2 linked regions of the Sus scrofa genome follow. Each later gene encodes a partner of the first gene's protein in a complex. Links are inferred from orthologs where the notes say so. Each region holds a gene or a part of one and is shown on either strand. Other genes may lie near its edges.

Region 1 (6,685 bases):
CACCTCACAGTCCCCAAGACTGAGTGGAGAGGGGGGCGGGGTCAGGGCTGGGGGACCAGGGCCTCTGCCGCTGCCAGACGGCAAGGGGGAGGCAACACGTGTGCTGTGCCTGGAGCCTGAAACCCATCTGCACACTCAGCAAGTCCCCAGGGTCACTGCTGTCCCCAGCCACTGCCCAGCAGTCACGGGTGCACACGCTCTCATGGCACACTCACCAGAGCACCCGCAGTGTGGTGCCCGGCTGGCTCAGGGCCTGGCACAGCTCCTGGATGCCAGAGTCACCCAGCTTGTTGCTGCTCAACTGAAGTTCCAGGAGATGCTTGTTCTGGGTCAGCATCAAGCTGACGTGCTGGCAGCAGGCCGCCGTGAGGCTGCAGGACTTCACCCTGTGGGCAGCAGGCAGGGGCTGGGGGTGATCGCCGCCCAAGGGGCAGCTCGGCCTCCGTACCCTCCTGCCCTGCCCTCGGAGGGCACCTGCACCCCCGTCAGCCCCCAGCGCTAGTCCCACATGGGCTCTCCTGCCCCTGGCACTGCCTGGCACCCGCTCACCACAGGGACTCCAGCTGGCAGCCGGGCTGCAGCAGGCTCTCGCACAGCAGCCGGGCGCCCTCATCGCCCAGCTTGTTGCCCGCCAGACTGAGCTCCTTCAGGGTCTCCTTGGCCTGGAGGACACGGCAGAGGTCTCTGCAGCCACTGGCGGTGATGTCACACTCCCAGAGCCTGCGGGTGGGGGGGCCGTCACCGCAAGACCCCTGGGCCATGCCGGCCCCCCCGCCCCGAGCACGGCGTTGCCCGGGCACTCGGCAGCTCTCGCCACAGACCCAGGGCCCAGCCCGAGGCCACTCACCACAGGGTCTTGAGGCGGGAGGCGGGGCTCAAGAGCCCGGGGCACAGCTCGGCTATGCCCGCGTCGCCCAGCCCGTTGCTGCCCAGGTCGAGCTCCCTCAGCGAGGCCTGGGAGGCCACAATTCCGCACAGGTCTTTGCAGTTGGCTGGCGTGAGACCGCAGTTCTCCAGCCTGAGGGGCGAGAGGCGCCGGGAGCTGGGGGCCTTCCCGCCCCCCGCCTCGCCCCCCGGCGCCCACCCCGAGCGTACCTGAGCGTCTCCAGCTGGCAGGCAGAGTCTGCCAGACCCTGGCCCAGCACCCGGGCGCCGGCCTCGCCGATGTCGTTGTTGCTCACCGTGAGCTCCTTCAAGGCCCGCGTGGCCCTGAGCACCGAGGCCAGGGGCTCGCAGCTGGCGGCCGTCAGGCGGCAGTACTCCAACCTGGGGACGGGCCGGCGGTCAGCGCCTCACCCTGGCCGTGAGGCCCCGAGGCCGGCGGGCTGCCGGGCGGGGATGGCACAGCGGGGGCCGAGCCCAGAGACACCGCAGAGAGACCTGAGGCTCCTCTGCCAGGCTTCCTTCCTCTGCGGCCAACCCCATCCGCACACCCAAAGGGAGCAGCAGTGCCTGTGGGACCCCAAGAGCCCCCTCCTCCAAGCTCCCTGCAGCCAGTGAGGGGGGAGGGGGCTCGCCCAGGGCAGACCCTCAACCAAAACCCAGGGGCTGGGGCGGGGGGCTGCCTAGCTAGGGGAAGGGGGCGCACACTCACTGCAGCTTCTCCAGGTGGCACTGGGGGTCCAGGAGCCCCTCACAGAGCAGCCGCAGGCCGGCGTCCCCCAGTGGGTTGTCGCTGAGATGCAGCTCCCGCAGCGTGGGCAGGGAGCGCAGCGTGCTGGGCAGGACCCCGCAGCCCGCCTCGGTCAGGGAGCAGTTCTGCAGGCTGGAGCGTGCGGCTGTCAGCGGGGCTCCCACGCAAGGCGGGCCAGCCCTCAGCAGGAGCCGGGTGAGGCGGACACAGCCCCCCGCCCGTGGGGAGGCCAGGCTGCCGGGCCTTGCAGGAGGGGCTGCGACACGGCCGCGACGCGCCCAAGGGCCCAGGAAGGACAGGAGGGCTGCCGTGGGCCCGAGCCTCGCCCGGGGTGGGATGAAGGGCTGGCAGGCTCACCTGAGCTTCTGGATCTTGCAGGTGGGGCTCTGCAGGCCCTGCAGCACCAGGTGCACGCCGGCATCGCCCAGCTCGTTGGTGCGGAGGCAGAGCTCGGTCAGGGAGGGGTTGGCCCGGAGGGCAGAACCGATGTCCTTGCAGTGCTCCTCCGTGAGGCCGCAGTCGTCGAGCCTGCGGACAGACGGGCGTTTCACACGGCAGGCTGGGACCCGCCGAGGTGCGTCACCGCCAACACACCTCAAGCCCAACGGAAAAAGCACGGGGGTCACCTGAGAAAAGCTCCAGGATCCTGGCAGGCAAACGCGTCTGACCGCGGGGCGGTCGGCAGGTGCAGGCTGCTCTCTCCGCCAGGAGAGAAGCCACCTGGACGAGCCAGCGCTGCAGAGGGAAGCGCCCACCTAGAGGGCTCAGCGCGGCCAGCATGGAACATACCAGAGCAGGCCCCAGGACCACAGCCGCCCCATCAAGTGAAAACCGAGTCAACACAGGAGGGGGCAAAGCCCGCCCTTACAGAACGACAGTCCACACACGTGGACGGAATGAAGAGATTCAAACGCCCAGCGGAGCAAAGGCCCGGTGATGCTGCCCTGGCAAGACCCCCGATGGACGCAAAGATCAGGAGACAGTCTGCGCAGAAACGGTGTCGGCAGAATTGGAAGGCGGTTCGCAAGGCGGCGCTTGTCACTAACAGAGGGAACCCAGTAACTACAGTGGACATCTGGCGGGCACCGCCTCACCAGGTGGTCACAGGGGACCACGGGGGTGAGCGTGTGGCACCGCTGTGATGACAGAGCCCACGAGACACCATGCCGGGCAGCCCAGCACGTGGCTGTTAGCTTTTTGCCATGAACGTGTGACTCAACCATGTCAGAGGGACTCGGGTGCCAGAGCCCGAGCGGACTCCAGAGGCAGGCGGCCAAGGACAAGGAGGGACCCTGGAGACCAGGGGTCTGCAGGACCTGGAAAAGCTGGGCACGTGAGCTTGGACTCTGCTTGGAACGGCGCCCCGGGTGACGGCACCCAGGGGCCCCTGCACCGCTTTCACGATGCTTCGGCCAACCTACAACTTTCAAATAAGTTAAAAAGAGAAGCAAGCAGGCAAGCACTCATCTCTTGCCTCCGAGCCCTGAGGAAAGTCTCGGTTTGAGACCCTCAACAGCAGAAGCCAGGGGACGAGCTGGAGACCCCTGCCCTGCTCACCAGGCCTGGACCAAGGGGGAACACACATTCAAATGGGTGGAAAAAGGACAAAAAGAGTAGTATTTCGTGCCACACGAGACACCCCACAGTTGACATCGCGCCGCTGTAACTGATGTTAGCGGGAGGTGCTGGCCGCGGGGCCGCCAGCCTGGGGGCTCCTACCTGACCACCTCATACTGCTGGAGCAGCGGCAGGAGCTCTGTCCACCGGGCGTCGCTCAGCTGCTCGCAGTGGATGTCAAGATTCATGCCGGGAGGTGGGGTGCTTCCTAGACAGAGGCGGGGGGAACGTGTCAGCCCAGCGCAGGCTGGACTGGGCAGAGGTCCGCAGACAAGGTGGGGGGTTCCAAACAGGATCCAGGGGCCAACATTTCAGAAGCCAGAGCCCGGCCCTGCTGCTTCGTTTCCGTTCTGCAGCACCTTCATCCACGCCAGCCTCTGGGAGCAAAAACAGGGGTGGGCAGAGGGACGCTGTGCCCACTGGGCCCCCCAGCAAAGACCACCAGGGACGGCAGGGCTTGGGGACAGACGGAGGCCTCTCTCAGCGGCCAGCGCCCCGCACCCGGCCTATGCGGCACCTCCTGCCTGGGAGGAAGTTGAAACCAGCACTCGCCACCCAAAGCTCTGCTTCCAACTGGCCTGGGCTGCGGCGGGGGGTGGGCTGTGGGCCTGGACAGTGTGGAGACCCCAGGCAGGTGGGCACAGGGGCCTCAATCCGGGAAGTGCTAAGCAAACTCGGTGCCTGCGCAGCCTCCCCTCTAAGAACGGAGGACTGCACCGGCCAGGTGGCCACAAAGCCAGACCCCCTCCCAGCATGCCGGCACCTGAGGCCTCACCCCTGGAGCAGCGGATGGGAGGGGCAGGTGCCTGTGGTCAGGTGACCGTTCCCAGGGGCGCCACAATAGGTGCCCTGGACGGGACAGAGCAGGTGGGTGGGGCCACGGGTCCAGTGACCAGCACTCTGGGTGGCCACTGGGGCTGTCTGCTTCCATGATCGCCCACACAGGGCAGGTCCTCTGCGCCAGCTCACCAAGGAGGCTGAGAAAAGAGTGAGACGTCTGGCTGGCAGGCCTGGAACGGGAGATCACAGGCCCTGAAACCTCACCTGGGCCAGCACGGAGCCTGAACCAAAGAGGAACCAGGGCCCCAGGCAGGGGGCCAGCGGGAGAGGAACCCCCGGGCAGCCTGGTGCTGGGGCGGGGAAAGTGCCTGGGGGCAGGGCTTCATTCAGAAGCAAGTAGGAAGTAAAGGCTCTGCCTGGGCACAGCGACCCCAGGCTCCAACAGGATGACTCAGACCCCCCGGGGGTTCCCCCTCAGCCCCTGAAACCTGGATTCCTGAGAATGATACCTCACTCAGGTTTGCGTCCATGCCTGGCGGGCCCAGGCCTTGCTAAAGGGGGGCTTCCCCACCCCCCGCACCCCCGTCTGGTTGGGAGCCCACAGCAGGGCGGAGGGCCACCCCAGGCCAAGGCTGAAGTTACAGTCCTGCTGGGTGGAGGAGACCCCTGCTGCCAACCAACAGCAAGACTCCGGCTTGCTCATCCTAACGGATGGGCCTGCTGAGAAACCAAGGCCAAGGCGGAGGTAGCTGGCCCGTCAACAGCCATCACTGGCAGAGGCCACCCGGCCCTGCCCTTCCTGACCCAGGGCGTGGTCACCCAAACCCTGACTCAGAATCCTCAGTCACCACCGGAAAGGCTCAGGAGGGGGACTCGCTGGTTCCGACCCATTGAGGGGGGGATCCACTTAGGATCTCCAGCCCCAATAGCTCCCTTGGAGCTGCGCCCTCTCCCTGAATCCCACGTGACATTAGGGGACGCAGTGTCCAGGGTAGAGAACCACAGACCCGACTAGGCCCCGGGGCTCCCCTTTGCTTGACCCTCGGGGCCAGGAGGACACTTCTGAGCCTCCTGGTGACTGATCCCTTTGAGGGTCCGTGAAAAAGTTAACATCCTCCAAAGGTGCTGCGTGTACAACCATCCTCACAAGCCACCAGTTAGGGGACCCGGTCTGGGTAGGAACAGGCACGTGTCTAGCCCAATGCCTCGCTGAGAACCGGGAGCTCCACCAGCGGAGCCGCTCCCTAGGCCCAGGCACCGGGCCAGGGTCTCAACAAGGCCCCATTAATTGCTTCCAGAAGGGATGGGCCTCAGCGCGGAGCGGCGCCGGCGTGCGAGCCGCGTCTTTCCGCCTTCCCGGGGGCAGCGCCCGCGTCGCCGGCCCGCCCCCGCTCGGCGCAGCACGGTTACCCGTGAGAGGCAGGGGGCAGCGGCGCGCCGGGCTCCAGGGCCACCTCCGCGCCCACCCGAGACTCCGCATGTGTCCGGAGGCCGGGGGTCAGCGCGGGGCCCGGCGGGGGCCGCTCGGACGCCGCGCGGAGAGGGCTCCTGGCGCCCCGGGCCCTGCTCCCTTCTCGGGCCCGGGAACCCTCCGCCGCGCGGTCAGGGTGCTGGCCCGGAACATCAGCGGAGTTTTAACTGACCCCAAACGCCGCGGGGCCCCTGGCCCCCGCTTCCCGGCCCTCTCCCGCAGCGGCCGAGCACCGCGCCTCCTACCTCCTGCCGCCGCCCTCGCCACAGACCCAGGGCCGAGCGCGTTTTCACCAGGGCAGGGGGCGGGGCCATGGCCTGGGAGGGCGGGGCCACTTTCATGGGCGGGGCCTGGGGGCGGGGCCTGGGAGGGCGGGAGCCCGACCCGCAGAGAGGCCTGCGTCCGGGGTTCTCCCCTCCGTGGGGGTCGAGGCTGGAGGCCTAGGGTTTTGGGGACTCACTACGGTAAATTTAAAACATCAGAGGAGTTCCCTCCCGGCTCAGTGGATTAAGCATCTGGCGCTGTCACTGCTGTGGCTCTGGTTACAGCTGTGGCGCTGGTTCTATCCCTGGCCTTGGAAGCTCCCCATGCCCCCTCCCCACAAAAAACTTCCCAACAGGAATTTTTTATTTTTTTTAAAGCAAATATTTTATTTTATTTTAGTCTTTTTGCTATTTCTTTGGGCCGCTCCTGCGGCATATGGAGGTTCCCAGGCTAGGGGTTGATCCCAGCAAGCCCGGACCTTTACATCTTCCCACAGAAACTGGTTTTCCGTAAATCTGGTTATCTGTACATCTTTTGTTCCAACCACCTTCCCTTTGCTGCAAAAACTCATATATGCCAGCTTCCCCCCGGCCTCCTTGGAACAGTTTCTTGAGGCTACCTGAGAGGCTGTCTCTGGGGCTTAAGTCCTAATTTCACCCCAAATAAAACTCAACTCAATTTCCACGTTGTATTTTTTTAGTTGACACCGGTAAGGTCCCTTTTGGACTTCTGGCCTTCTGAACCGTAAAATACTATCTGCAGCCACTTGCTACAGTAGCAGGAGGAAATTAATGCACACCAGAGTTACTACATTCTTCACTTAAGAATAGATAGATAAGAAGTTCGCACAGTGGAAAGAAGTCCAACTAGGAACCACGAGGGTGCGGATTTGATCCCTGGTCTCGTTCAGTGGGTTAAGG
Region 2 (4,758 bases), on another chromosome or scaffold:
TAAGAATACTTCTGCAAGAAATTTCCCTTGTGGCTCAGTGGGTAAAGGATCCGGCTTTGCTGCAGCTGTGGTGCTGGTTGCAACTGAGGTATAGGTTTGATCCCAGAGCTGGGAACTTCCACATGTTGCAGGTGCAGCCAAAAAAAAAAAAAGAAAAGAAAAAAGAAAGAAAAAATTCTGTCAAAAGGAAACCTCTAGAAACGCAAAGTTTCCCTTTTTTCCTCCTCCATCCTCAAGGTTTGTAAGGAGATCCTCATTAGCACAGAAATGCAGGAATATCTGGCTGCCCCCTCTCACCCCACAGAGTGAGCTTCTACCTCTTACAGAAGCCCCCAGGGCTAAGAATTCACTTTACCTAAAAGAGAGTCACTTCCAGCATTTATCAATGCAGTGCACACTAACGATGACAGACCTGGTTAAACTGGTTGGCAGTAGGACCTTTCTCTAGTTCTATGACCTTGTCTGGAGCCAGAAGCAGGTGTAAACAGGTCATTGGAAATGCCTACCTGATGACAGAATGGATGTAAGGAAGGGTTGCCTAGAAGTGACAGACTCACAGTCCCAGCATGCTGGGAACTTGTGAGAGCTACGGGCAAACTCAGGCAGAGAAAGCTGTTAAGGGCAGAGCACTCAGTGCAGGAGGGAGATGGGACCTTCCTCCTTAAGGGGACTCAGGGAGCAGAAGGGGCAACAATGGGGAAGCCAGGAGACCTGAGGTCTAGTCTCAGTCATACTACTAACTAGCAGGTCACTTAACCTTTCTGAGATTCAGGTCACCCTCTGTAAAAGGTGGGGGTTGTATTAGGTGAAGGATGGCCAGTGGATGGTACATACCCTTCACCTCCCTCATACCTCCTGCAGAGGCTACTCCTCCATTGAATCGCTGTTTAGGTGTTTTTCTGCAGCATTCTAGGCAGGCACTTCCAATTCAGTTGGTCCAGAAGCTGAAATCTACTTATCAACCCCCCATTTGATAACATCTAAAGTCCCTTCTAGCTCCTGAAAAAAGGATTCCAGCTTTCCAACTAAGAGGGGATAATTTTCCTGATATAGTAAAACTCCCTCAAAAAAAAAAAAAAAAAGGAAAATGGAAATTTAGAGTCATAATTTTATACACGCCTCTTCCCCACCTGAGGCCAATCAAGGTCTTCCCAGGGTCACGCTGTCTTCCTTCTGTGCCAGAGATTTTTGTATCTGAGCTTCACCCTGTCAGCTCACCCGAATGACGGTATCCCAGACTGTTGCTTCTTTTTATCTAAAATAGCCCAGGGAGTTCCTGTTGTGGCACAGCGGTAATGAACCATGACTATGCGGGTTCGATCCCTGGCCCCGCTCCGGAGGTTAGGAATCTGGCGTTGCTGTGACTGTGGCGCAGCTCGGCAGCGGCAGCTCCGATTCGACTCCTAGCCTGGGAACTTCCATAGGCCTCAAGTAGAAATAGAAAGAAAGAAAGAAGGCCACACAGTACCTGGACGCAGACAGCATCAGAAATTCAGATAGTTGCAAATATGTTTTATTGAAAGAAGCAGTGAAGGGGTTAACATGGGCCCACCTCACAACCCACTCCTCACCCTCCAAACCAAGTAAGGGCAAGCCTCAAGCCATTGGCGCATGCTCTTGTTGGATAAGAGCCCTAAGTAACTTGAGTTGTTGCCCTCAACCAGGGAAATGTGTGTGTGATAAGAAACCTGACCTGAGCTATTGCCCTCAAGCCAAAGAAGCATGTAAACACATGTGTGAGGGGTGGGAGGTGGAGGATGAATAAGAGCCATGGCTACCTTAAGTTATTGCCCCCTAGGGCAAAGAAGCAGAGGGGAGAGGCAGATGCCTTGGTGATGAGGTGGGGCATCTCTCTGGTGGAGACCTACACAGAAGCATCGAAATGGACTGGCACGGGTGGGTTCCCCTCACAGGCCACGATGATGTGTTTCTCCTGCTGGCTGGCCTTGTATGCACAGTTGGGGTACTTGGAGCTGCCCGTCTGGCGGCAGTCTGTAATGTGCATGGTGGAGTTGCTCTGGTAGCAGTTGGTCTGCCCATTCTTGCAGTTGACATTGATCTGGGAGCAGACGGCCTGGACATCTGCCAGGGACTCGTGCACAAAGGTGTTCACCGGCTTGCACCGTCCTTGTGTCATGTTCCGGCGACTCATCATTAGGTTGCAGTAGTTGGAGCTGTTGCTGGAGGAGCTGTCAGGGTCCATGTGCTGCCGCTGGAACTTCTTGGCTGGTGATTCCTTGCCCAGGGAAGGCTGGACCCACCCCAGCACCAGCAGCACCAGGGCCAGCCACAAAAACAGGACCAGGGACTTCTGAGCCATGGTGGCCTTACTGCCCTGAAGGACCCTACCTGGGAAAAAGGGAGAGAGGAGGAAAAGCATTTAGCTTAGAGAGAGCTCTTGCTGTGGCGAAGCGGGTTAAGGATTCTATGCTGTCACAGCTGAGGTATAGGTCACAGCTCTGGCTCAGATTAGATCCTTGGCCTGGGAAACTTCCTTATGTCACAGGAGCGGCTATAAAAGAAAAGAAAAGAAAAAAAAAAAAAAAAAAAAAAGGAAAGGGACCCTAGCTCTTGCCTGTAGCCTCCCTGGCTTATAGTTTTCCTTTGGGTCAACCGGGAAGATGACTTTCTGTGAGCTTTGCTAAGTAATGGGGCACTCACATATACTCTTCTTCACAAGCCTTTGACTGCCACTCCCTGCAGAGAGGCCATCCTCCCCTCTGGCTGGTAACCCTGGAAATGACTTAAAATCCTAGCAGTCCTGTCTTTGAATACAGAAGGATTTTTGATATAAAACATATTTGAAAAATAAAACACAATTGTACCCAGTGCTCACGTGGCTCATTAGGAGATTCTCTTGAATAAAATCATTAAATAAACAAGCCAAATTTTGAAAAAGCCAAATTGTGTCCCTGAGATGACTACCAAGTATACATCTAGGGTCATTTTCGTTTTCGACAGAGCCCTGCTGTCCTACAACACGAGAGAAACACACCTCTTGGCCTCAGTGTGGGATAATAGCACCTTAAAGGGATGCCATTGTGTTCTAAAGAGAGATGCTTCCTCCCCCAGCTTGAGAGCTGCTCTGTCTCAGGCTGCATGGGCTCCCTCTAGCCTGCCTGCTCCATCCCTGCCCCCAGCTCTGGCCCCAGTCCTGACTCTCAGGCTAGCCTCACCCACCCTGACCGCCTTCTCTCCAAGGTTTAAGCAGAAGCAACTCCTGAGACCACCTCTTGGACTGCTTACCTGGGTCTCTGGCTTGGTCTCAGAGAGAAGGCGGTTTCTTCAATCACTAGATCCCAAGACTGTCGACTTTATACAGATTAAAAAGGGGCTTGGCTTTTGAAAAGAGAAGGGTGGGAGGAGCATCGTGTTCTCAGCCCACAGGAAAACAAGGACATTTTGAGGAAGGGGTGGGGAATCGCCCAGGCTGCCCTCTTTCCCGGGCTGCTGGGGAAAGTGAGCCTTTGCCTGTAAGAAACTTCCTTCCCATAAACAGCCGAGAAAATCACTAGAGCACTGATACTAGAACCCTCAACTAAGCCTCTTTGGGAGCTGCATTCACCAAAGAGCCCTCAGAGATTAGCAAAGGACACATAACACGCGATCATAGGGGCGCGGAGGGAGGTAGGTCCTCTCCCCAGAAGTCCTGGAGCTGCTTTGGCCGGAATTCCACATCTCCACCAGTACCTTTCTGGGGGGAGTGTGGGGAGAGGTGTCCAACTGCCCCCAGATGGATGGCTTCCCAGATCTGGAGAAGAAGGAGGAGAGGACTTGAATACAGCCCAGTTCTGACCACTTCAACACTCCTGGGCTGTTAAAGGTGGGTGGCCCTTATTATCTGCAGTGATCTCCCATCCTGCAGGTCAGAGTAGAGGAATGAAAGATAAACCAAAATGCAAAATCCCCTTTAAAGAAGAAATAGAAATAGAGAACATCACAGTTCTTGGCAGAGGAAGAATTTCCTCCTAGAAAGAGACCAATATTTGCTGGAAGACAATTTTATTTTTTACTTATTTTTTAAAGTATAGTTGATTTATAATATTGTATTAGCCTCAGGTATACCGTAAAGTGATTCAGATACACACACACACACACACACACCCTAGGCATATATATATATATATATATATATACACACATATATATATAGTCCCTTTGGAGTGAGATATATCAAAATATATTCTCTAGGTTTACACTGTCTCAGTCCAAATTCTGGTTTAGCATTTTAAAAGCTGGGCGAGTTTCCTCATCTCTAAAATGGGTATAATCATAAAATGTTCCTCTTAGATTTGTTACTAAGACAAAGTCAGGTGAGATGCCAGGGACTTAGGGCAGTACTTAGAAATCATCAGTAAATGATAATTCCTGGAGTTCCTCTTGCAGCTCAGTGGGTTAAGACCCCCATGTAGTGTTCGTGAGGATGCAGGTTCAATCCCTGGCCTTTCTCAGTGGGTTAAGGGTCTTGCCACAAGCTACATCATAAATTGTAGGTGTATGGATCTGGTGTTGCTGTGGCTGTGGTATAGGTCTGCAGTCCTAAAAGAAAAAAAAGTGCTAGCTCCTGTGACTGTCCTAAAAGAAAAAAAAGTGCTAGCTCCTGTGACTGTTCACTTGGGCTGGGGGGTTAAGATCCCTCCCCCCAGGGTGTGGTGTGGCCTAGCTTTTAGTTTCATGTTTCTGTATTTCACCCACCACCCAGGTTTTTTGTTTTGTTTTCGGTCTCTCAGTCTTTAGCTAGTACTCAGCTTGATCCAT

What was found.
Region 2: the proteins of RNH1 (region 1) and RNASE1 are in contact, whole or in part, in a crystal structure (PDB 3TSR), measured with the Mus musculus proteins. The link is inferred for Sus scrofa from reciprocal best matches to the Homo sapiens genes RNH1 and RNASE1. Residues at the interface, in NP_001165571.1 of Mus musculus: Cys7, Asp32, Thr60, Asn89, Asp117, Glu145, Tyr146, Asn174, Glu202, Trp257, Trp259, Glu283, Ser285, Trp314, Lys316, Glu340, Glu397, Ser401, Asn402, Gln426, Val428, Tyr430, Asp431, Ile432, Tyr433, Trp434, Thr435, Asn436, Glu437, Arg443; in NP_035401.2 of Mus musculus: Arg26, Glu27, Lys32, Gln36, Pro48, Thr49, Gln53, Lys56, Arg57, Met60, Asn62, Gly63, Ser64, Cys65, Lys66, Pro67, Val68, Asn92, Lys94, Asn96, Leu111, Lys112, Gly113, Asn114, Ser115, Lys116, Asp121, Ala134, Glu136, Val143.

Annotation. Positions count from the first base shown.
Region 1 is NC_010444.4:282,384-289,068, forward strand, and holds the start of RNH1 (ribonuclease inhibitor), read right to left. Parts: upstream 4,020-6,685; 5' UTR 4,006-4,019; coding exon 3,768-4,005; intron 3,459-3,767; coding exon 3,353-3,458; intron 2,162-3,352; coding exon 1,991-2,161; intron 1,766-1,990; coding exon 1,595-1,765; intron 1,267-1,594; coding exon 1,096-1,266; intron 1,019-1,095; coding exon 848-1,018; intron 721-847; coding exon 550-720; intron 387-549; coding exon 216-386; intron 20-215; coding exon 1-19. UniProt on the Homo sapiens protein: Ribonuclease inhibitor which inhibits RNASE1, RNASE2 and angiogenin (ANG). May play a role in redox homeostasis. Required to inhibit the cytotoxic tRNA ribonuclease activity of ANG in the cytoplasm in absence of stress.
Region 2 is NC_010449.5:78,211,566-78,216,323, reverse strand, and holds RNASE1 (ribonuclease pancreatic precursor), read right to left. Parts: upstream 2,353-4,758; 5' UTR 2,321-2,352; coding exon 1,865-2,320; 3' UTR 1,750-1,864; downstream 1-1,749. UniProt on the Homo sapiens protein: Endonuclease that catalyzes the cleavage of RNA on the 3' side of pyrimidine nucleotides. Acts on single-stranded and double-stranded RNA.